Linked DNA regions of Mytilus edulis. The protein of the gene in region 1 interacts with the protein of each later gene in a pairwise test. Links are inferred from orthologs where the notes say so. Each region holds a gene or a part of one and is shown in the gene's direction. Other genes may lie near its edges. The genes, in order: peroxisomal targeting signal 1 receptor-like; delta(3,5)-Delta(2,4)-dienoyl-CoA isomerase, mitochondrial-like; acyl-coenzyme A thioesterase 8-like.

Region 1 (8,972 bases):
TATGGGAAACCAGATAAAAGACTGATGAAATAAGGTCCCCTTAAGTCACAATAATGAGGACTATACAAAAATGTATTTGGTATATTTTATATTCAAATGTATTTTGTTAACAAATTTCATCAAATTAATATCTTAAAAATTTATTCTACTTCCGTATTTTCATGACTATTTTTCTGTTAAGTTAACAAATAGAACTTTTGGTTGTAAAAAACATTATTCTAAAAACCATTTGACTGAATTGTTTCTTAATTTTTTTTAACTCAACAGTAGCAGATTCAAATAAGGGAAAAGGGGGGGGGGGGCTAAGATGAAGAAACATAGTTTGATTGGATTTTTTTTTCTGTAAACTGACTTTAACAGGTCAAATCATGTTCTGACTTCAAAGAGTCTGTCAAAACTAAACTTATTTCAACTTTTAAGTCCAGGATTTTCATATTGATTTAAAATGTATGGAACATTTTTATTTGATATATTCAATATTCAAATGCATTTTGTTTTTTAAAGATTTTCATCAAATTATCTAAAAAAAAAAAAAAAATATTGTATTATTTCTGTATTTTCATGACTTTTCTTTTCTGTTAAGTTAACACATGGAACTTAATTGTGGTTGCAAAAAAAAATTATATTTTAATAACCATTTGACTGAATTGTTTCTAAAAAAAAATCAGTAATTAATTAACTCAACAGTAGCAGATTGATATTTAGTGGGGAGGGGGATTAGAGGAAGAAAACCTAACTTTGATTGGACATTTTTTCCTGTCAACTGACTTTAACAGGTCAAATAGTGTTCTGACTTCAAAAAGTCAGTCCCATCTAAACTTATGTCAACTTTTAAGTCTAGTTTCTTCGTATTGATTTAAAAATGTACGGAAAAGCCAAATAAAAGACAGTGGAAATAAGGTCCCCATACAGCGCAATAATTAATGAGGACTATAAAAAAGTTTATTTTGCATATTGATTATTCAATATTTAAATGTATTTTGTTTTAAACTGGTCAAATTATGTTCTGACTTCAAAGAGTCAGTCAAAAACTTCACTTTAACTTATTATTACAACTGTTAAGTCCGGCATTGTCATAAATATATGCATTTAAGAACGTATGGGAAAATCAGATAAAAGACACCCAATAATAAAGTCACAATAATGAGAACTAATATTTTATATTCAAATATATTTTGTTTACAAATTTCATCAAATCATCTTTAAATTTTATTATATTTCTGTATTTTCATGACCTTTCTTTTCTGTTAAGTTAACACATGGAACTTTTGGTTGTAAAATATATTATTTCATACCATTTGACTGAATTGTTTCTAATAAACTTATCAATTAATTAACTCAACAGTAGCAGATTCAGATAAAAGGGAAAAAGGGGGGGGGGGGGCTTAGAAGAAGAAGACCTAGTTTTGATTGGATTTAATTTTCTCTGTAAACTGACTTCTTAAACAGGTCAAATCATGTTCTGACTTCAGAGAGTCAGTCAAAACTAAACTTATGTCGACTTTTAAGTCTAGGATTTTCATATTGATTTTAAAATGTATGACAAACCAGATAAAAGACTGATGAAATATGGTCCCCTCAAGTCACAATATTGAGGACTATAAAAAAAAATGTATTTGGTATATTTTATATTCAAATGTATTTTTTTTAACAAATTTCATCAAATTTATATCTTAAAAATTTATTTTATTTCTGTATTTTCATGACTTTTTTTTCTGTAAAGTTAACATATAGAACTTTTGGTTGTAAAAAATCATTATTCTAAAAACCATTTGACTGAATTGTTTCTTAAAAAAAATTAATTATCCCAACAATAGCAGATTCAGATAACGAGAAAAAAAAGGGGGGGGGGGCTAAGATGAAGAAACCTAGTTTGATCGGATTCTTTTTCTGTAAACTGACTTAAACAGGTCAAATCATGTTCTGTTAAAAAAATGTTGAGGAGAAAATACTATGAAAATCAGACTAAGTTTGGTGACTTTGTTGTCCTTCAAGAAGTGGTACATATAAATACATAATATTTTCACTACAACTATCTATTGGGTGTTTTTTAAATAGAATTTTTAGCAACATTTATAACTTTGTAATTTATGTTCAATTGTACACTTGTTATTCTTAATATATATTTTTTTGGGAACAAAATCTTGTCAGGGTTTCTTATGGTACTAGCATGACAAGAGCATTCATATTCTTAAATACTCTAAACATTAAAAACAAGTCATTATCTTCAGATTATTCTGAGTCTTTCTGGCCTTATTAAATTAAAGTCAGAACATTCAGACTTTCATAAGTCAGAACATTCAGACTTTCATAAGTCAGAACATTCTGACTTTCATAAGTCAGAACATTCAGACTTTTATAAGTCAGAACATACTGACTTCCAATGTTCTTCTCACTTCTGTAGAAACAAAGACTATCTATATTTCAAATAAAAGGTTAATGCTTTATGTGGCTAAGCATCTGGGGTAAGAATTATAGATGTGTAACTTCATAGGAAAACATATATGCCATATAATTAGGGATTGACCCTGTACATGTATGTCATTCAAATCTTCTTGAAATGACGAACAGGAATATTATATGGTTTAGGGGTGGTGATCCAGACCATTTCAAAAAGGGGGATGGGGATGACCCCCATGGACTTTCCCTTTATTTCATTTGATTTGTTGTATTGTCCCATATAATAATATATAGGCTTAAGGGGTGGGGATCTCAACCGTTTACATGTTTTCAAACATGAGGGGGTGGGGTGACCCCAAGGGACTTTATCTTTATTTCATTTGATTTGTCTTGTTGTCCCTTACACTAATATATATGGTTCAGGGGTGGGGATCTTGACCATTTACATGTTTTCACACTGTAGGGGCAACCCCCCCCCCCCCAAGGGACTTCCCCTATATTACATTGGGTTTGTTTTATTTTCCCATACAAGAATATATATAGTTTAGGGGTGGGGATCTCGACCGTTTACAAAATATAAGAACATTCGCAAATGGCAGGGGAGGGGGTAAACCCAGAGACTAGCCCGGTATATTTCATTCAAATCAATTTGACATTATAAAAAGGAATATATATGGCTGTTTACAGGTGGGGATCTCGACAATTTTCAAGATATAAGATCATTCTCAAATGACAAGGGGTGGGGCGACCCATAGAGACTAGCTTGGTATATTTCATTATACTTTACAGAGAGAAAAAATTGAGTTAAGGGGGCAGGGATCTCGACTGTTCAACATTGTCAAATGACAGGGGTAGGGTGATCACTGGAGCCTTACCCTACATTTCATTTGATTTGTTTTTAAGATCATATTCCATGTTCATAATTGAAAAACCCGTTTTGTGAATCTCTTTATAATGTTCTCAAGTTAAAATCATTTTTAAAATAAAAATAAAAAAATATTTCGGTTCTTTTAGTTAAACCCTCCCTTCCCTTTTCCTTTATTAAAATTATTCCGATTTCATTTCATTTTCATTAATATCAATATTCAAAAGATCGTTTTTCTCATTGGGAGAAACGAAAAAACAAATATATTTATAAGCCGCAAACTCGGAAAGGTTAAAAAGTCAATTCATGATTGAGTTTAAAAATAGAAAAATCACGTGATGATGTTCAGCTCGAAGCAATAATTTTACTTTTAAAATTGCACTGACTGGTTATTAATGTTAATACTGTTTAAGACAACACGAGTTGTCTCCCGAAAATAACAGTTCATTATCATAACAACATTTTCTGACCTGAACAAGTCAGAATTGTCAGACACCAGGTCATCTCAAAGGCTACGCGTCCGTATTTACAGGTCACGCGCCTTCATGAAACAGCAACAAAATCACTTGCAAAGACCTTCTTCACACGCAAAAAATATTAAAATGGCCATGAAAATACGGAGGTAATATGTATTACCTTCTGAAAATGACCACATTGACCTAGATTTTCAATAAAAAAACGTAAATAATCACTATATTTTCAATAACTTCTCGTTCGAGAAACTCCCAAAACAACAACTCTCAAACACGTGATCTCTCGCAAAAAACCACGTGATCGTATGTGTCTTAGATCGGCGGCAAATTCAAAATATCTTCTGGTTTGACGGACTCGATGGAAAACTACGCAAAACAAAAATTGACCCGTACAGGTCAGAATGTCAAAACATTTTCTGACTTGAAGAAGTCATTTTATTCTGACTTGTTTATGTCAGAGCTCTGACTGTAAGTGGGGCTATTTTTTTAAAAGTGGGTCCAGTTGGTAAACCAGTTTGGGACAACTTTTTAAAAAGTCGGTCGAGTTGGTGAAAAAGTGGGGCGGTTAGGTGTGGGGCAATGCATTTTGAAGATGTTAAATGACACTTCTTACTAAACATTCAATACTACACAAAGGTTGACCATTCCCAAAATGTGATCTTCTTCTTCTTCTTCCAGTAAGCGGCCACCGTCAACTGGTTGACTATTCTGCCACATTTATGGAGTGCGCGCATGTATGAAAAAATTTTAATTTAACAAAAACAAAAACTAGGTGAATTTTATATACAAGTGCAAATAAAAACATGTCAATTTAATTACTGACGGAGCTGAGCCTTGAAAGATTCAGGACTCGGGGCAGAGACCTTACAGTTGGGCAAGATTATTGTATGAAGCCAATAGTCCAAGAGACACAGATGCTCAAGTCAAGCAGCACCTATTTCTAAATAGTAATAGAGTGTATAATATTATAATTTACACGGTCTTCAACAGTGTCCCAAGTTTTAACACATATAAACTGTGTCTGACTGTGACAACAGAATCTGGAGAACAAAGGGATGACATGATGTCATAAAGTAAAGCTGTAGATATATACATGTAGAAAAGGTCGAGCAAAGGAATTTAAATTTGCATGTCACATAATTTAATGTAAATGTCACAAATCAGGATGTCTCTAGACGCCGATGATAGATTTGGAAATTTGTAAACATAATTGATGTGAATATATGTACAGTTATCTTGATTAAGGATACAGTTTGAATCCTTTCATTATGTCCTCTGCTTTTGATGGCATATTGATTTATAATTGTGTTTTATCAAAACTAGTCTGGTTCTATTTCACGATTCTCCAATGTCAACAATTTAGAAGTAGTTCGTTAAATTTTCCTACGCGACAATCTGTATCAAGTGAATGTTTGTATGATCGTGTTGGTTATAATGGTCAATTGTATACCGAACTCTTTAATTTGCATCAATTTTCTTAATTTTTAATCCAATTCAGTGAATATATTTAGTAAAGAAAGTAACCAGGTTGAAAATTAGTATCATTAGACCTATTTCTCGCACTTACCGGAAAGCGTCCTGTTTTCAATGAACGATGTTGTTCGGCTTATGTGGGACGATGGACTGACCTGTGTTTCTCAAAATCATAGTTAACTCTAAGAACGTGAAGGAAACCATATGTAAATATATATTGCTGTTCAGCGAATATAAATGTACTTTCTGTATTGAATCCTTCTTTTTCTATGGTTGTGGTAACTTCATTTATGAAATTTATGCAAGTCCTCCTCTTCACCTGTTCACGACTTGTAGATAATTTTCATGATACATGGATAGTGCATATAGCTAGCATTGACTTAGTCCAAATAATTATGACATCTTGAAAGTCTATTATATTTTTTTTTGTCAAAGGAAGGCATCAAAGCAAACATTTAAAATAGCCTTCCAAGATGTCATAATTATTTGGACTACCAATCTACCATTGACTCTGATCTAGCTGCGGAACTGTAGCTCTTAGGTCCTTATGTTATTTTTTGACTATTTGCGGACGGTCCGCAAATAGTCAAAAAATAACATAAGGACCTAAGAGCTACGGTTTCCGCAGCTAACTCTGATCATGACAGCTTGGGGATTATTAGTCCAAATAATTATGACGTCTTGAAAGGCTATTATATTTTTTTTCTTTGACACCTTACATCGACGATGCGTCACAGAAAAAAAATATAATAGCCTTTCAAGACTTCATGATTATTTGGACTAGGACAGTCAGGGGTATTACTTGTACAAGTTATTTTTAATTACTTGAAGAAGTAATATTAATATTCTTATATAGGTAAATTTGCTGGATACTTATACAAGTGAATTTTTTTTTACTTATTTTGGTAAAAAAAGATATTGCCTGAGTTTTGTCCCTTAGACATTTAGTTTTTTTTACTTGTAGATGTAAAAAAGTCATCCTATCTTCTTTTATTGAATTCTTATGATTTCTTTGCTCTAATAGAATTTTAAATTATCTGCCCTTTGCAGATGTCTTTACTTATCATTTAAGTGTAATTTCATGGACAATGAAAATCCCATTTGTCTGTTATCCTCAAACACTGCTTATTTATACAAGCCCCAAGGAGCAATCTTTGAAGGCCTTGCACAATTACTTAAGATCTGTGTGCAGTCAGTTTCTTTGTTAAATTAATGAGATGAAACATTGAACTCTAACAAAAAAAAAATAATGAGCAAACCTGGGAAAAATCATTTAAGGCAATGGTGTATAACACGCCTACTTTTGTTGTCAATATCATCCGTAGCAATCCTACACATCAATAACCTATAGAAAAAATGTGTTTATAATCCTATAGATATTAAATTCTATGCCACTGATTGAAACTTTTCATCAATAAAGTTTATCAGAATGTTTGCAAATAAGTGAAGAATATTTCCATTCATCAGTCTTACATTTTCATAGTGGATAACATGTGCTCCAAGGTTCTGATTTTTTCTATCTTTTTTCAAGTAAGGGTATCGAACTTCCAATAATCGAGGATACAGTTAAATTCTGCTAACTTGCCCCACTTGAGAGTTAATTTACACGCTCACCTCATTAAGTTTCAAAATAACACATGACAGAAACCCCAGTTGTCATTATTTATGTATTTTAATTTACATGATTAATTAATTCACCACATAAAAAAAGTAAATAAATATTGTGGATGAAAATTAACCGTTGCTTGATTTCATTAATGTGAATTATTTCATTCAGTTAAATGCATGAAATGATATTGTTTTATTATAAGTTGTATAATGATGATTATGCTACATACAAAAATGTATGTATATTAACATGATTAAAGTATTTTTTTCTTTTTTTCCTTTATATTTTGAAAAAACTTGTAAACATTATAACAAATGACTAGCATGCATCATCATGATTATCATACAAATGTACATTGTTTGTAAAACATGTCACATATGTTTGAAAAAATATCAAAAATCAAATTAGTAACAGACATTATGTTACATGTTATATATATTTACTAAGAAGTGATAAGAAAGGGAAGCGAATTTCAGAAGGATCTTATCATACTCATCATACTTATTGAGAGTCTTAAAACTAATGTAGATTGTATTTTAGAACCCACATCACTTAATTACCCATTTGTTGACATGACTCTCATGCACTCAGGGTTCTCGCTAAGGATTTTTGAAGGCGAGTCCAGGGGCTCTTCATTTTTAGCCATGATGAGTCCAACAGCAAGAAGAAAATATTTTATTGCAATACAATGTAATATTTTAGTCTCCATTTCCTAACAGAGCAATGAAATGACATTGAATTCATATCACTTTTAAACTTTTGCTATAAAATGATGACATTTGTGTTTAACTGTGTTAAGTTTATACAAAATATTTCAATCTTGATGCTTCTGTGGACTCACCAGTTTTAAAAATGGTGAGTCCAGACAGATTTTGATGAGTTCAGGACTCATGGACTCGCCTTAGGAAGAACCCTGCTGAAAGCAATTGAGGCTTCAACATGTTCAATAACGGGATGGCATGGTGATATTTCTAATATTCTATTGTAATTTTAGATAGACTTTTGCCATGTGTATTTGATTTTAAATATCACGACTATGCTAGTAAAATTAATTTTAATTAATACTTTTCAGATTTTTAACCTACAAAATGGCTATGAGAAATTTGGTGGAGGGGGAATGTGGAGGCTCTAATTCACTAATGAAATTGACGTCACATTTCACACAGGATAGAGGATTACGACAGGTATATGTACTTGCATATATATATATATCAGCTGAAGACTGATCTTAAAAGTATTGTATTGCAACATATTTCTTATTTAAGTTATTACAATGTTCTTGTATAGCAAATAACTAAATAATTAAAACTGAAAAAATGTTAGTTAACAGTTGAAGTGATGGTTTCTAAATATGTATTTAAATAAGTTCTTTAATTCGAACATACTAAAAGGTCTATGTAGTAACGATGAACATTTTGCATCTGTCTTTGTCATGATTGTCTGTACATGCTGTAATTGTCTGACAAAACAGCCCTTGGAGGTCAGAGTAATCTCAGACTATCATGCTTTTTAGTTATTTCTACTTTGTAAAATATTTAGAAAAAAAAAATTTACTTACAGGAAAACTTCAGTCATGGAAGAGTCCAGCACCCACAGCAAATGGTAGTATTATCTAGAATAAAGTCTTTTAATACTGAATTGGTTTTCCTCAAAGTTCAGTATCTTTGTGATTTTACTTTTAACAAATGTCAATATATATGTAGGAGGATTTGGTAATAGACAACTATCCACAAGAGACCAAATGAACAAAAGTTTTATCAACTTAGCAACAAATCAAACTGTATACATGATATAAGGAATAAAATTGAGAATGGAAATGGGGAATGTGCCAAAGAGACAACAACCCGACTGTAGAAAAGACAACAGCAGAAGGTCACCAATAGGTCTTCAATGAATATTGAAAAAGACAACACTGATTTGGTTACGTTTTTGAGATTTAGATATATATCTTATTACCATAGATTGTGTTAAGACATCTTAGATGAATTAAAAATAAGTAATCATACTTCATACATTTATTCCATTCTATATATATATGCTTTCTTCGAATAAGAAATGAGGTTCCAAATTGAAATTTGAATGTTTATCTTGTACAATTTGTCACGTTTTCCTCCCCTTTCTTATCAATTTGAATTATCTATAACATTAATTT
Region 2 (8,765 bases), on another chromosome or scaffold:
TGAAATGCCCGGTACCAATTCATGTTTTTATCATATTCATAAAAGCATTAAAATAATTTTAAGCTATGCAATTTCTTTTTAAATAATTCATTTCATTAAGAATATTTTGCTTGAACTTTTACATTGAATGCTTATATTTGTATGCGCAATCAGAATTAAGTTATTATTGTCCACAATTGTGAACTTTTTAAAGTTATTGGCATTTTGATAGCTGTTTGCACTTAAATTTATGGACTAGTTATAACATATGTAAATGCATATTTTTCCTGAACTAGTATTTGTTGTTAACCCTCTTTTGTTAAGTTAGGTAAACATTGATTCAAACAAAATGTGTGCCAATAAGTTTGTATATAGTATCTCACAGTAAGGCTTTTGAAACAATTGTTTTTTTTAGTATTTATGAAGCTAAAACTGTCCAAACTGAACACCTCTTTGATAGATATAATTTTGCTTGTATTAAACAGGTGTTTGGTTCAACACATTGCTCAAACAATTTGCTGAATGTCCTGATCCAAGCGTTCTGGTTACCCAAATTTAAAGTATACGCAGGTTTTAGTTTAGCCAGGTTTCACAGTAGTAGATTATCTCCCTTGCCAATCCCATGATCCCCGCCGAAAAGACCCATTCTGACAATCTAGTCATAAAGTTCTGCATGCTTTTTATATGTTTGTTTTGTGGATATGTGATGCATGTATAACTGTGTTTATAGAAGTGAATATGCTTTGTTGATCACATTTTGTTTTTACAATGTATTAATTGGTTGGATGGATGTAACAACATATTTTGTATCAGATTCACATGGCAGCTTGGTTATGGTTCATGAATCAATTTTGCTTTTATATATTATCAGCTGATAAGAGAAGAAATACTGTTTTCTATAACAGGATTAAACCCTTTTCCATTATACTTGTTTTCAAAGGAAGACTTCCAAATTAACAAAAAAGACGTCAAACAAAATTTGTCAAGTATACGCCTATGGTGTAACATCTCATAAAAAATTGAAAAAGTTTTGTAATATATTCATTTTATATGGACACATACAGTGATAATAATTGGATGGTTCCTTTGTTGATAGCAACTCAATGTTTAGAAATCGGAATGACTGTTAACATTTTCTTGTCCTTAAACTACACTACAATTAATGGGGAGATAACTCTTTAAATCAGAAATGTGTTTGAAAAAGTCTGATTCATTATTGGAATATAATTTATTATCACTTGAAACAGAACTGAAATAATCTGATCATAAAGAAGCTTAGAACATATATATATAAGTGTGAAAATGACTAACACAAACAACTGATTTTAAGAGTTATGTCTCCCCTAAGTTGACCTCCATAAGTCATGCATGAGTCTGTTGAAGTAAATTCGGTTATGAATGATCTATTTAGTGCTCTGTTCTATAATTGTTTCAATATGTTTTAAAATGTTTATTAAGTATACTATGTATACTGGTTTTAACATTTTTCTAGGATTCGAGGTAACACTTTCTTTTGTGATATCAGTTTGGTATGGGTATCAATATTTGACACCAAGTATGCTCTTTTTTGTTATTTAAGATTGAGAAATAGAAATTACATATGTTTGCTTACTACCTCATAATTTTTGCTCCTGTTAATTCAAAAACTATTGTGATATTTTTATAATAATGTAAAATGCAACAGGATGAGTAAATAAAGTAACAAAAACAAAAAAAATTAATAAAACTAACAAAGAACTGTAAAATGTATATGGTCACAATTTTATTAAAGGTTTAAATTCAAAATAAAAATTGCTCACATTAAGTTCTGAATTAACAGTAATTGTTGTGATTAGTTGTCAGTTATTATAATTATGTTAATATCCGAGCCGATAATGTTCCAGTTTCATTAACAGATTTTTATAGCTTAGAACTGGTATATATACATGTATATGTATATCCCTAAATATAGTTAACAATTAAAAGATTGAATAGGGATGGAATATGCAGTAAGTATACTGTATACCTACTTATGTTTGCAGATATTTTTTTTCTCATTTAGCACTCTAAGTGGATTTCGCAGCGACATATTTTCTCAAATTTGTAACTTCTGTGTGGTATATAATACAGACATTGCAATATGATGGCACTTTAAAGTTAAATAATAAATCAAAGAAAATATGAAGTCTAAAACAGCAGGGAAAAAAAGATCAGATAATTGAGGGAGGGGTAAAAAATGAGACAGTACCAGTATCAAATCTTCACTTCATTGTACAATGTATGTAAAAGAAATGGCTCGACAATCTAAAAAAATATTGAAAGATAAATATTTTTTAAATTAAAACCTTCAAAAGTATGACTTTTTTTTTAAGTTGGGCTTTTTGAGAAGAGCACTCTTTAAATGGACCATTTTACTTATTAGATTAGATTGGCCCACTGTGTTGTTTTGTGATTTTTTTTCAAAAAGGACTTTAAAAAAAATGGAAGCAGCACTTTATACTTATTATGCACCCAAAGTGCTTTTCTAGAATAACATAAGAATGCCTTTCAAAGGGACCAAAATACCCAAAAATTAAATACACAAACAGAAATATTTTAGATTTTATTGAACTGGAAATATGTTTGACTGGCAAAATATGTGTGGCTTTTTGTAACTGTTGGTGTACAATATTGTTGGTATGTTAGTGCAAGAACTTATTTACACACATGAATGTTTTGTAATTTTGTTTTCTGTATTTTTTGTATGAATTTTGTTTTATTTAGATTTATAATACACAATTACAGTGACAAAAAACAATGGCATGATATTATTGTAGCAAAGATATTAATTGTTTGGTTAATTAAAATCATGTATTAAAAATGAAAACATACCATACTTTGAAAATAGTTTAATTTTATGTCAAACATTTTTGATAGTTTCAATAGTATCATTGGTTTATTGCGTCAAGAGTAAGTGGTTCTATATACAAAAATGATACAGTCAAGATCAGGGAAAAATTGTAATCATGTGTTAATTTTCTGGGCTTTATTACTGAATCACACAAATAGAAAAAAAATGGATACCAACAATGATACTACTTTATTGTTTATTTACATTTTTCATAGTTTCATTCATCTTTGGTGTTACATAATCAGATGTTTATTCAATGAGTTATGTTTTATATTAATAAATAAGTTCTTAAATGCTTTAAATGTTGTTTTTTTTAATGGGAGATTTACATACCAATGTTAGGTCTGGACCTGCATCTCTGAATGTAGCTGATTGAGGTTGCATGTATATTTAAGCATAACTGATCATTTCCTTTCATTAAAGGCAAGAAAACTTGGATGAGAATTTGCCTTGTAAAACTATCAATTCTAATTGGCTGCATGCGAGATGTCAAAATTGCTTACTATCTACAACTCTTCATTATCAAGCTACAGACCATATATCAAATTATTCCCTTTCAAAGAAGCCAAGAAAATTTTGACATCCATTTCTTACCTAATGTCTTCCAGATGGACAGATGGATGGAGATCTGCTTCCATCTTGGGCAACACAGGTGAAAATAAATGGAATTAGTATACATGAGGCAAAGACTTTTTAAGAAGCTATAAAGATAGCGAATTTTAAAAATAAGAAATGTTTAGAATAATATTTAAGAGCAGACTAGCAAAGATGATAGTATATTTTGTAGGTCTCTTTATACAAACTGTTAGTTGACAGACATAAATTAACGTGTGTGATACTGGGCAGGTATGGATGAATGATTGATTTCAAGAGAGCAATCTTGCAACTTTGTTCAATATAATGTTGATATGATATGAAAATAATATAATAGATCAACATACTGAGAAAAATTTGAACAGCAGCGTCATAAGTAACAGTCCACAGATAGAAAGGTTGTCCTACCTGGACAGATTATTTTGATTCTTAGCTGACCAGTCTTTACCGTTACTAATGCATAATACAATCTAAGAAGGAAAGGAAAAATATCAATCTAAGGTTCTTGCTTTGATTCAGCCAGATATCAAGTTTAGGAACTCCTGCATTTAATGGCATACAAACTACCACAAGACCTCCAAGGCATTTCACAATGGTGATAATGCTTATTTTTACCAAATTTTGAACTAAAGACTATGTGAGCTTTTGCCATCACTTGCTCTCATTCATTGTCCTATCATCGTAAACTTTTAAAAAATCTTCTCCATCTGAATCTACTGAGCATGGTGTTACCAAAATTAACCTGAATGTTCCTTAGAGTATCTATTATGAAATGTTATCCTGGGATTTTATCCATAAAAAAATTTGGCTCCTTTTACTTGAAAATATTGTTTGATTGATGTTTGCTTAACGTCCATTGGCAAACATTTCATACATAGTCAAGACATTTACAACACAAAAATTGTTCCTTTGCTTTTTGTGTGTTTTTTTGCATTGCATGTATACTTTGTTTTTTTGTAAATATTGCATAAAATGTGATCAAAACCCTATAGTACGGACTTGATATTTAAATCTTCCAAAGTTCATCACTTCCTTTTATAGTTCTAACAAAATAGACTGTGAAGCAATCATTCTTTCAATCTTATCAAGTCAATGTCGAGTAAATTGTTGATTATATGAGGAATCACCGAGTCACCACTTGAGGTGGCACCCCTCTACGGCAGTCAGTGGGACCCCCCATATGAAAATTTCAGGATCGCCACTAAAAAACTAATTATGATATAGTAGTGTTCTTTTTAAATACATACGGGTATATAATGCAAATATGATCAGCAAGTAAGTCAACATGTATGCATAATTACAGCTCTTTTCTTAATGCTAGCGAAAAAAGGTCTGTTTGTCTTGCTTGCCATGTTTGTATCAATGTTTGCTTATTTAGCAATGTAATTAAGATTGACATCTTAAAACAACATAAAAAGGCAGCTTTAAATTTGTTAACATTATATTTAAATTTGATTGGACATTATCAAATAATCAAATTTACCTATCCACAGGTTTAGCTCCACTACTTATATTGTTTGCAGATGTCAAACTTAATTGCAATGCTTGAGCAAATATTTATACAAACAAAGCAAGTAAGTTTACCAAACCTTTGGTTTGCTAGCATTATGAAAAAAGCTGTAATAAACTCTTTTTCAACGTCATTGAATTTTTGAAGAAAAAAAATCAGAATGAATTAATAAAATAGGACAGGTGAAAAATAAAAAGACAGGACTGAAAAAAGTGAAAAATAAAAAGGCAGGACAACATTTTTCATCTTAGCCCCTACCCCCATAAAAATAAAATGGTAGCTCCCTAATTTATTTAGTTTTTTATCAAGAAAAAACAATAATAGATAGTGATAAAATGTAAAGATTATAAAGCACAATTATACCTACAAATAACTCAAATTGCTGAATTTTTTATGAGTTATTTCCCCTGATTGGTGATTTTTATCTGTTTTTAGCTATTTTGACTTTCTCTATTGGCCTCTTTTGTCAATTTTCATTAAATAAAAAAAATTCTTATCATGAAAATTTTAATAGATAGACAGATACTTTAATAAGCATAAAATATTGACCATAACGTTGTAGAATAAAATCCGGAAATTTTACGGTTCACGTACGAGTATGAAGAGAAGTTTATATTTTGACTGGTTTACCGTATTCATTCATAACGAATTTGGTTTAGGAAATTATTACAGGAACAGATTCAACTGCAAAAGAAACTGACAGCAAACTTGGACTTTACCCCTTTTATCTAAATGCATGGAATAAGGAATATAACGAGAAAAATACTGAATTGTACGTAGAAAAATACATTCGGATAAAGTAGGGAGAAAAAGATTAGACTTTAACAATGTAAATCATGGGCAAAAGATATTTACAGGTTCTGGCAACTTCTGCAAAATTATCTTGACTTCAGAAGTTCAGTGATCATTTTTCTGTTTAAGGTTCTTTATAACAAATGGACACAAAATGGCTATATTTACAACTCAATAAATACTATGAGTACAGACTAACCTGTGCCGTTTGAAAAGTTTTAAGGCCTGCAGGCATTCACCTAGTCAAAATAATTATGACGTCTTGAAAGGCAAATTTTTGCTTTGACACCTTCCTGTCGATGTAAGGTGTCAAAGAAAAAAAAGTAATAGACTTTCAAGACGTCATAATTATTTGAACTAGCATTCACCATGTTCACTAGATACAAATGAAATGCATTTACAAAATGTACTTAAGTGTTTCAACTTTCAGAAAGATGAAATCTTTTTGGATTTTGATTGGCCTTTTTTTGTCATTCCTGCAGAAGGTGTAAAAAGAATCCGGGTCACTTTTCCTTTGGTTAAAAATAAACAAAGTTTGGTAAATGTAACTCTTTGAGATGCTCCATCCCAAGTAGCTGCAGAATTGTAGCTCTTAGTTATTTTTTGACTTGGACTTAACTTTCAAAATATTAATATTTCCTTTTATAATATTAGTACCAAATATCCAATAAATCAAATTACACAGAGAAGAATTAGTGTCTTTCAAAACATTTTTTTTTCAAGGAACAGAAATTCATAGATCTCCAAAACAATCGATCATTAGAGAGATTTAAAAAAAAAATGGAAGGTTCATGTATCAAACTGGTATGTTTAACATGTTTAAAGTTGACACTAATAAACTTATATGTTATTGTAAGTTTTGAACCCCAGATCAGAGAAAGCTCTACTTTTACTAGTGTTTATAACTCCATCAACATACCAGAAAATGACAATATTTAAAGGTATTGGGTCGTTCCGGTCCCAAACCGATCCGGCCCCAAGTCAATCTGGCCCAAAGTCGATCCGGCCCACTCTGATCCGGCCCCATAATAAAATATGAATAAACTATATTCACTTTATGGGGGAACTTGTGACAAATTTGAACAGTATATATAAACGAAATCATTAGTCTATAATTGGTTTGTTTATTCAACAATTGTCTGGTGATTGTGAACTATGGTAATGCCACTTGTAATCACTTAGTTCAATCAAATCCTGATTAATTAAAGTTACGTAATCAACAAGGTCTTTATAATTCAATCTTTTGTTTGGTGTATATAATAATAATTAATTGTATTTTTATTTCGGGTAACATCAGAGGCTTCTATCATGTCTATAACACTTTTTTTTTGTAACATCATATAGCCAATATATTTTTTAAGTTTGTATGTATCAGCTTGGGGATCCGCTTGTACCATTGTGTATGTAACTATTTGTTATTACTCAAGACGAAAGACTTGTTAGGATCACAGTCAATTGAAAGAAATTGCTAATTATTGCTGATTAATGTTGATGTCTGAATTCTTTTTTATATATACGTTTTAATATAATTATACCCAATAATCTTGAAAAAAATCTTGTACACCTTTTATATTATAATAACAAGAGTGCACACGCTGAAATGTCTCGCCTTCTATACTAATCATTGATATTATGTTGATAGTCTTAAGTATAAATCTAAGCTTTATTACAACTGTCACATAAACTTTACATTAACCAAGATAACTAAACAAAGACCAATGAACCTTGAAAAAGAGGTCCAGGTCAGATGAACCATGCCAGGCAGACAGGTACAGCTAACAATGCTTCTATACAACATATATAGTTGACACATTACTTATAGTTTAAAAAAATAGACCAAAACACAAAAACTTTACACTGTGCAATGAACCGTGAAAATGAGGTCACGGTTAAATAAAACCTGCTTGACTGACATAAAGATCATAAAATATTTCCATACACCAAATATAGTTGACCTATGGCATATAGCATTAGATAAAAAGACCAAAACTCAAAAACTTAACTTTGACCACTGAACCATGAAAATGAGGTCAAGGTCACATGACATCTGCCCGCTAGACATGTACACTTAACAATCATTCCATACAACAAATATAGTAGACCTATTGCATATGGTATGAGAAAAACAGACCAAAACACAAAAATTTAACTATAACCACTGAACCATGAAAATGAGGTCAAGGTCAGATGACACCTGCCAGTTGGACATGTACACCTTACAGTCCTTCCATACACCGAATATACTAGCCCTATTGCTTATAGTATCTGAGATATGGACTTGACCACCAAAACTTAACCTTGTTCACTGATCCATGAAATGAGGTCGAGGTCAAGTGAAAACTGTCTGACGGGCATGAGGACCTTGCAAGGTACGCACACATCAAATATAGTTATCCTATTACTTATAATAAGAGAGAATTCAACATTACAAAAAATTTGAACTTTTTTTTCAAGTGGTCACTGAACCATGAAAATGAGGTCAAGGACATTGGACATGTGACTGACGGAAACTTCGTAACATGAAGCATCTATATACAAAGTATGAAGCATCCAGGTCTTCCAACTTCTAAAATATAAAGCTTTTAAGAAGTGAGCTAACGCCGCCGCCGCCGCCGGATCACTATCCCTATGTCGAGCTTTCTGCAACAAAAGTTGCAGGCTCGACAAAAATCATAAACATTTATCAATTACAATTAATATATATCTTTATTTTTATTTCTAATCCTTATAAATATTTTTTTGGGGGGGGCCCAATTGACTTTACATATGGGCTGGATCTACGTGGGGCCGGATTGACCCGAAAGCTATTTAAATAAACTTTATCCTGAACACAGTTACAAATGTTAATTGATACAATTTAAAAGACAAAGTGTATACTATAAAAATATAAATTTGTACTTAATGTAAATTGCATATAGACTAGAATCAAATGGCACTAGCCACTTCAAAAGTTGTGATTTCCAGAATACATGATAAACATAATCAATTGGTATTTTGAATAATTAATTGCTTGCATTTTAA
Region 3 (8,228 bases), on another chromosome or scaffold:
ACCTTCCACTTTATGCAGTCAGCACTTCGGTGATGACATGAATATCAGTTATATATGAAAGCGAGATGTGGTATGATTGCCAATAAGACAACTATCCACAGGAGACAAGACACCAAAATGACACAAAAATTAACAACTATAGGTCACCACACGGCCTAAAATGTACTGTTTGTAAAAGTATGAATTATTCGAAAAACTAAGGATTGTGTTATCACAGTCATAGATTCCCTTAGACGTATTTGGCCGAGGTTTTTTTTATTGGTATTTTGGGTCCTCAAAGCTTTTCAACTTTGTACTTGTTTGGCTTTCTAACTTTTTTTTATCTGAGCGTCACCGATGAGTCTTATGTAGATGAAACGCGCGTCTGGCGAATTAAATTATAAGCATGGTACCTTTGATAACTATTTACACCATTGGGTCGATGTCACTGTGGTGAACATTTCGTCCCCGAGGGTATCATCAGACCAGAAGTCAGCACTTCGGTGTTGACATGAATATCAATTATATGGTCATTTTTATAAATTTACTGTTTGCAAAAGTATGAATTATTCGAAATACTTAGAATTTTCGTATCCCAGTTATACTTTCCCTTAATTAACCGTATACGTATTCGTCACAACCTATTGGTATTTTGGGTCCTCAATGCCCTTTAACTTTGTACTTGTTAGGCTTTCTAACTTTTTGTTATCTCAGTGACTCAGTCTGGTGAGTCTTATATGTAGACAAAATGAGCGTCTGGCGTATTAAATTATAAGCCTCGGCTGGTACCTTTGATAACTATTAATTTATGACAATGTTAAACTGTGGTAATTTGAAAACAGATAACCTTACTTATAACTGTACAATGTATTCTGTGGTGTTGAAAATAAATAACTCGGCAGGTCTTTTTAACCATTTTATAAATGATAAAGTATATATGTCACCAGAAAGTTCTAGCACGAACACTACCGGGTTAGAACCCATTTATGACAAGCTACTAGCTGATGTTGTTAAATACTCTAATTTAGGGCACATTATAGTCCAAGGCGATTTCAATGCCTATACTAATACCAAGGATTTGTATAGTAAGATCTTACTATACAAATCCTTGCTAATACAAAACCAGATTTTATTGCCTTTGATAATTCTTGTACTTCAAATCAAGATGATTTACAATATATTTCTGATCAAAATATACCAAGGAATAACCTTGACACCAAACTTGTCAACAATAGTGGAAAGTATCTACTGAATTTATGTAAGGAATCAAGTCTTAGAATACTAAATGGTAGAACCATAGGTGATTTACATGGTAAACACACTTGTATTACATACAATGGATGTAGTGTTGTAGATTATATGCTTGTGTCTAAAGAATTATTACATATAGTTGGTTATTTTGAAGTACATGACTTTACTTCTTTGTCAAATCATTGTATAATAAGTTGTTCTTTATTAATAGGTTTTATTATGCCTCAAAATACACCCCAATATCAGTTGGATCCTATCCCAAATAAATTTATATGGACACCTGAAGCAATAAATCTATACACATTAAATAGTAATAGTATAGAGAGTAAAAACAAATTTGAACAGTTTTTGAAATCAACTTTTAAAGACTCTGAATCAGCAGTAATTTCATTTAATAATATACTATATGAAAATGCTTTGAAGTCTGCTAAACTAGTAAAGAAAGTCCCAGTCAGAAATAAAAATCAAAATAGGTCAAAAAGACGACCTTGGTACTCTGAATCTTGCCGTGAACTTGCCGTTACAGTAAAAAATTATGCAAAGTTAGTTAATAAACATCCCTATAATTCTGAATACAGACATAAATTTTATTCTTTCAGATCTAGACTTAGACGTCTATGTAAATATGAAGAAAATAAATACAAAAAAGATATATTTTCAGAACTTTATACATGTGAGAAAGACCCAAAGATGTTTTGGAACATCTTGAATAAATTAAGTAGACAAAAAAGTAATAACAAAGAAAATGAATCTTTACCACAAGAAGATTTCATCCAGTTTTATAAAAAATTGAATAACTGTGACATAAATCACAATAGTTTTCACTCTAAAATTATTAAAGATTTTGACTCTCTAAAAGAAAAGTTTAATTTATCACATGTTACAGATGACTTAACTCACTTGAGTTCAGAGATAACAATTGAAGAGATAGTAACAGCTATTCGTTTAATTAAAAATGGCAAAAGCACATCAGCCGACATGATTTCAAATGAAATGTTGAAAAATGCAATCCCCATCTTAATAAAACCACTTCATAAACTCTTTAATAGCATATTCGAATCTGGTCAATTTCCGAGAATATGGAATGAGAGCTTACTTGTTCTCTTGCATAAGAAAGGGGACAAATTTGATCCAGGGAACTATAGAGGTATATCTATTAGTTCCAACCTAGGTAAACTTTTTAATAAAGTTTTATATAAACGTTTAGTAAAATTTATGGATATCAAAAATTTAATAAGTAAAAATCAAATAGGTTTTAAAGAGAAAAGTCGTACAGCTGACCACATATTCACTCTTAAGACCATAACTGATCAATATAGACAAAAAAAGAAAAAAGTTTTTGCTGCCTTCATAGACTTAAAAAAGGCATTTGATACTGTATGGCGACTAGGTTTATTTTCTAAACTCATAAAACATAATATCCCCCAAAAAATGTTTAATGTTATTTATTCAATGTATACTGATACAGTAAGTAGAATAAAATTCTCTAATGGGTTGAGTCCTCCATTCCTATCAGAAAGGGGTGTTAAACAAGGTGACGTATTGAGTCCACTTCTTTTTAACTATTTTATAAATGATCTAGTAGGTAATCTTGATGACAAACATACGGATCCAGTTGCTATTGGGGATACCTCTTTGAACATTCTTTTATATGCAGATGATATTGTTTTACTATCTGAAAGCAAAGAGGGTCTACAAAAATCTCTTGATATTTTACATGAATATTGTTCAACATGGAAACTACAAGTTAATACTGATAAATCAAAAATTATGATATTTAATTCTAATGGCAAGACATTGTTAAACCATTTTACTTATGATAATGCATATCTTGAAACAGTAACAAATTATTGTTACTTGGGTATTGTTTTAAAGTATAATGGCAATTTTTGCCTTGCTGTGAATACTCTAATGGAAAAAGCCAGGAAGGCATACTATAAAATAAAGAAAACTATAGGTCTCAACAACCCATGTAGACTTCTTGAAAAATTGTTTGATTGTTTAGTTACTCCCATTCTTACATATTGTAGTGAAATTTGGGGGGTGGATTCACATTTTAAAGACTCTGATCCATTTGAAAAACTTCATGTTAAATTTATCAAAGACATATTAGGGGTTCACTGTAAGGCATCTAATGATGGATGTCGAGCTGAACTTAATAGAATTCCCTTGAAAAATAAAATATTATATTCAATATTCAACTACCTGAACCATATAGTTTCTTCGGAAAATTCTTTGGCATATGATATATTCACTAAATCTGTAGATTCAAACCCTTGGTTCATAAAGGTCAAGAGTCTTTTGAATGAACTTGGAATGTCTTATATCATCAATAACTTTAATTATGTTAAAGGTAATTTAAATTCTATTAAACAAAGAATTAATGACCAATGTTTGCAAGTTCAAAATGCAAATATATTTGAATCCAAAAAGTTAGACTTTTTCAAAAGTGTCTACATAATGGGCAGAAGACCACCCTATGTTGATATATTAAAAAACAGAAGTGACAGAGCTGCAATATGTAAGATCCGTATAAGCGCTCATACACTGATGATTGAAAGAGGGAGACATCTAAATATTCCCAGAAATGAGAGATACTGCTCTGTATGTAATTCTGGTCAAATTGAAAATGAAAAACATTTTCTTTTACATTGTGAAAAATACTCAACTAAGAGGGACATATTTTACCATAAAGTTTCAAATACAATCGTTGATCCTACAAAATTTCAAAAACATGAAAATAATATAATCTTTTTATTAAATAATAATTCATACACAATCCTAAAACTAACTTCCTCTTTCATCTCAGACAGTTTGAACCTGCGTAAAGCAGAACAAACTCTATAAAATTGCTAATAATCATTGTTCATAATATTACATATTAATATAGTCATTATTTTCAATACTTAATATGTTTGACCAACTATGTAATTGATATATATTTTTTTTTTTAATCATTTACTGTTGATGATATTGATATCGTTCGATGATATTGTTCTAAATATGCCTATTGCTATTCTATGCATTATTACTATTTGTATACCAGTTGTATGGGCCATTGCCAATTATTGTAATTGTGTTTGTGCCAATAAAAATATTTGTATTTGTATTTGTATTCGAAAGTATGAGATGGCATCAGATTCTTCATAAAATTCATATTTTAAAAACATTTATTCAGGAACCACTTCCCAAATCTCTTAATAATAAAAGTATTATAAATATTATTTAAATATACTTGAAATGTTTGAAATTGGGTTTCATTTATTAACTTTAGGTATATTGTCTCAGGAACACTTGCCTCACTTTTATTACAGGGCCATGAATGGTGGATGTACAAAAGTTAAACATCGAGACTAGCCGCACAGCAATGCAAATTCACATTCAGTATAACAGTAATATTATATGACTGCACTTTTATATTTCGCGCCAAATATTATTAGAGTTACCTCCCATAGAAAATGGCAATGGCAGCAACTGGAACTGACGATCTAGAAAATGAACTCGTAAGATCGTATTTGACGTTGGAAGATATTGACACTAATATCTTCAGGTAGAAAATAGTTTCTTAATGTTGTTTATATATCATTTTTGTTTAAAGATCAAGATCAAGAGACATATTATTTTAAACATGAAATCATGCAACAACAAGAGTGACACAGGTCCCCCTTTTTAGTATTCAAATCGGAATATATAGATGTTTTATATGTATCTGTATGTGTCCCAGGTTGCAGAAATTTTCTTTTAAAAAATGTTTTACGCTAGAAAATTCTCTATATATATTTGTAAAAGCATTGAGTTATGAAATTTCTCAAAAGTAAAGTTGCAATCACAGTAGCATGCAGGGATGGGCACGATTACTGACAAATGTAATCGATTAAAAATAATCGATAACATGAAGGATTTTTGTGCAATCGATTAATAATCGATTACTCAAATTTTAGTATGTAATCGATTACTTTATCAAAAGTAATTACATTACTTTTCGATTACTGTCAATTACATACTTCAACATTTCAACAAAAAATAACAGGAGTAAAACACAATTATATTGCTCAACATTTGTATATATAGTGGAAATTAAGATCTTTACCTAATGCATCATTTATAGCATTGTTTCTAAATTATAAGTTAATAGCTGCTTTTTAGATCAAATCTCTTGATGAAAATTAGAAATATTTAAAAAATCTCGTAATTTTGACTTTCAACATATATGAAAGATGTCATCGCATTGCAATAATCACTTATTCATAACTAATTGTTTTTCAAAAAATTAGTTTTCTTACTGACACGTTATCTTTTTTGTTTTTACTCTTTAAAAAAAAATATTTTAGCATAGTTAATTACAATGTTTAAGGAAATATAAAAAAAAAGTAGAATAATTAATTAGTTCAGCTAATTTTTAAGATCAAAATTTATTTTTATAATGACATGCATGTTTTAAAACTTTTGTTTGGATAACCACCCTAATTACAGATTATTTAACTGCCACTGGAGTATAATTTATAACCTGGGGCTAAATATTGTAAATTTCCTTCTTTATTAGACATAAGATAATTGAAATAAAAACAAAGTATGTTTGTTATTGATTAGAAGACTTTGATCATCTCATTAGTAAAGGCAAGAATGTTGTTAACTTCTCCAATCAAATTATATACAAAATATATTTATAGTGTCAAAGGGATACATGTATCTATTTCTAAAAAGAATTGCTATGCATTGCCATTGGTTCATTGTTAAAAGGATTTTGTGTTCATTTTTAATTTAATTTATATACATGTATATATATCATAACATTTAAGAAATCAACTGTTTATGTATTCTAAGCTTTAATTTCAACTCTGATTGAAAATGATGTTTTCAGGAAATTTAATACAAATAAGCTTACTACTTTTAAAAAATGTAGTACAGAACTTAACGAAAGACAGACACATTTCTTATTTAAGATCTATTTTATTTTTTCAAATCTATTTTCTTATTTAAATAAAAGTAATCGAAATGTAATCGGAAAGTAATCGATGATTACATCCAAATTTTTGCTGTAATCGATTAAATTACGATTACATGTAATCGAAAATGTCTTCAATTACAGATTACTGTCGATTACTTGAAAAAATGTAATCAATTACAATCGATTACGATTACAGATTACGATTACCCCATCCCTGGTAGCATGAGTAGTCCGAGATAACTCTGACGTCCAACGGCTGTTTTGTCAGACAAGCTGGGGCCCCAAGCTTGTCTGGCAAAACTGCCGTTGGACTTCAGAGTAATCTCGGACTTCAATCACAGGTATTTAGGTCATGGATCCCCCTTTTTTGGACCCCACTAAAAATATTTACAATTTTCTACAATGTATGATCCCCCTTTTTTGGACCATTGTAGAAAATGTAAATATAGAAAGAAAAAAAAACACAACATTTTTTTTTAAGTGGGGTCCAAAAAGTACAGTTTCCATCTCAAACTAAATGAACAATAGTTGAGTAGAACAGGAACATATATATTAACGGAACTTGACACTACCTGATTGTAGTCGATTTTATTGTCGTGCCATTGTAAATAAAGATACAATACGGAAACAGACAAGTTTTTAAAACATACTCACTATTATCCTAAAAATTTCTGATAATATCAATAAAATGTCATTCAAACTAGTTTTATAGTGATGCTAGCGTAATTTAAACTTGTATTCTGTCACTTCAAATTTGTTAATATCGCAAGCAGTTCATCACAGAACTGTGCAGAATGCAAACAAGGTAATAAAAAAATGGCGGCCATTGCCGTGATGATTTACAAATTCCCAAACTATTATAAAACACTTCACATCAAATAAATCATACTTATTTTAGTAATTTTATATGACAAAATATATCTTCTTAATGATAAAACTTGTATTTTTACGACTATAGAGATATGTGGTTTATTTATTGAGCAGTTCCAATAGTTTTTCAGTCAAACCCTACCAAAATCCATAAATCTCAGGAAGTCTTGGGAGTCCGAGATTTTTCAATTTTATACTGAAAAGCGTATCAGATTCATTTCCTGTTAGATATACTGTTCCCAGAGTAGAAACAATATCTTATATTATAATAAAATTACTAAACAATAAGTTGCAAATTTAACAAAATCTGTCAACATAATCAATGAATTATAGTAAAATAAATTTGCTTTACATTTTGACATTTTATAAAAAAAACAATTATTTAATCATTAATTTAAAACAATTTACTAATTTTACAAGCCCACAAGGGAAATAATTCAGTTGAAGTTTTATTGTAATCACAAATAGGCAGTGGGATATCCTGTGAATGAAACCGAAAGAAAATTCACCCTTTTATGATAGAATTAAGAAGGTCAATAATCAAACAATACCAGTGTCGATACTAATCAAAAGTTATTTCTAAAAAATAATTGTACATTTTAAATAATTTGAAAATTAAAAAAATTGAGGCCAATATTAGACTTGAGCACCTTCTCTTTTTCTATTTTGCAATAATTATCTATATGTCAAATGTATGTCATTTATTTATACTTCCTGCGATTTATTTTCCAGTTTTTGTATACTTAACATGCTTAAGTTTCATGGATGACTTTTACCAATGAAATTCACAATTGAGTTATAAATGTTATAAACCCCATGATTAATTATGAATCCATGTTCGTTTTTTTACCCTTATAGTCATAAGACTAATTTATTATCATTATCAGGGCTTCACCAGTGAATCTTTGGCGCCCCCTTGCTGGAAGATTTGTTTATGGAGGACAGGTAATTGGTCAGGCACTGATAGCAGCCTGTCGTACTGTCAAAGAAGAACAGCATATTCACAGCTTACATTGTTATTTTTTAAGAGGAGGTAAGTTTAGTTCTCAGACAAAAGAAATTCCAATATTTTCGTTTCAATTTGGTGCTGTTGTCAATGAAATTCTGACTCTGAATCAATTTTACCTTTGAGTAAATGGATGTTCATCATGTTCATGTGTCTGCCTCAAGTGAGAAACTT

What was found.
Region 2: the proteins of peroxisomal targeting signal 1 receptor-like (region 1) and delta(3,5)-Delta(2,4)-dienoyl-CoA isomerase, mitochondrial-like interact in a two-hybrid assay, tested with the Homo sapiens proteins (2 studies listed by BioGRID and IntAct, with this or other methods). The link is inferred for Mytilus edulis from reciprocal best matches to the Homo sapiens genes PEX5 and ECH1.
Region 3: the proteins of peroxisomal targeting signal 1 receptor-like (region 1) and acyl-coenzyme A thioesterase 8-like interact in binary tests that used the Homo sapiens proteins (3 or more experiments, as listed by UniProt). The link is inferred for Mytilus edulis from reciprocal best matches to the Homo sapiens genes PEX5 and ACOT8.

What each region holds. Positions count from the first base shown.
Region 1 is NC_092356.1:54,303,937-54,312,908, forward strand, and holds the start of peroxisomal targeting signal 1 receptor-like, read left to right. Parts: upstream 1-5,277; 5' UTR 5,278-5,417; intron 5,418-7,892; 5' UTR 7,893-7,908; coding exon 7,909-8,004; intron 8,005-8,380; coding exon 8,381-8,422; intron 8,423-8,972. Other genes in the region: retinal rod rhodopsin-sensitive cGMP 3',5'-cyclic phosphodiesterase subunit delta-like, read right to left, coding at 4,989-5,029.
Region 2 is NC_092346.1:50,874,700-50,883,464, forward strand, and holds the start of delta(3,5)-Delta(2,4)-dienoyl-CoA isomerase, mitochondrial-like, read left to right. Parts: upstream 1-5,571; 5' UTR 5,572-5,684; coding exon 5,685-5,724; intron 5,725-8,765. UniProt on the Homo sapiens protein: Isomerization of 3-trans,5-cis-dienoyl-CoA to 2-trans,4-trans-dienoyl-CoA.
Region 3 is NC_092348.1:72,301,924-72,310,151, reverse strand, and holds the start of acyl-coenzyme A thioesterase 8-like, read left to right. Parts: upstream 1-4,657; 5' UTR 4,658-4,688; coding exon 4,689-4,780; intron 4,781-7,935; coding exon 7,936-8,081; intron 8,082-8,228. UniProt on the Homo sapiens protein: Catalyzes the hydrolysis of acyl-CoAs into free fatty acids and coenzyme A (CoASH), regulating their respective intracellular levels. Displays no strong substrate specificity with respect to the carboxylic acid moiety of Acyl-CoAs.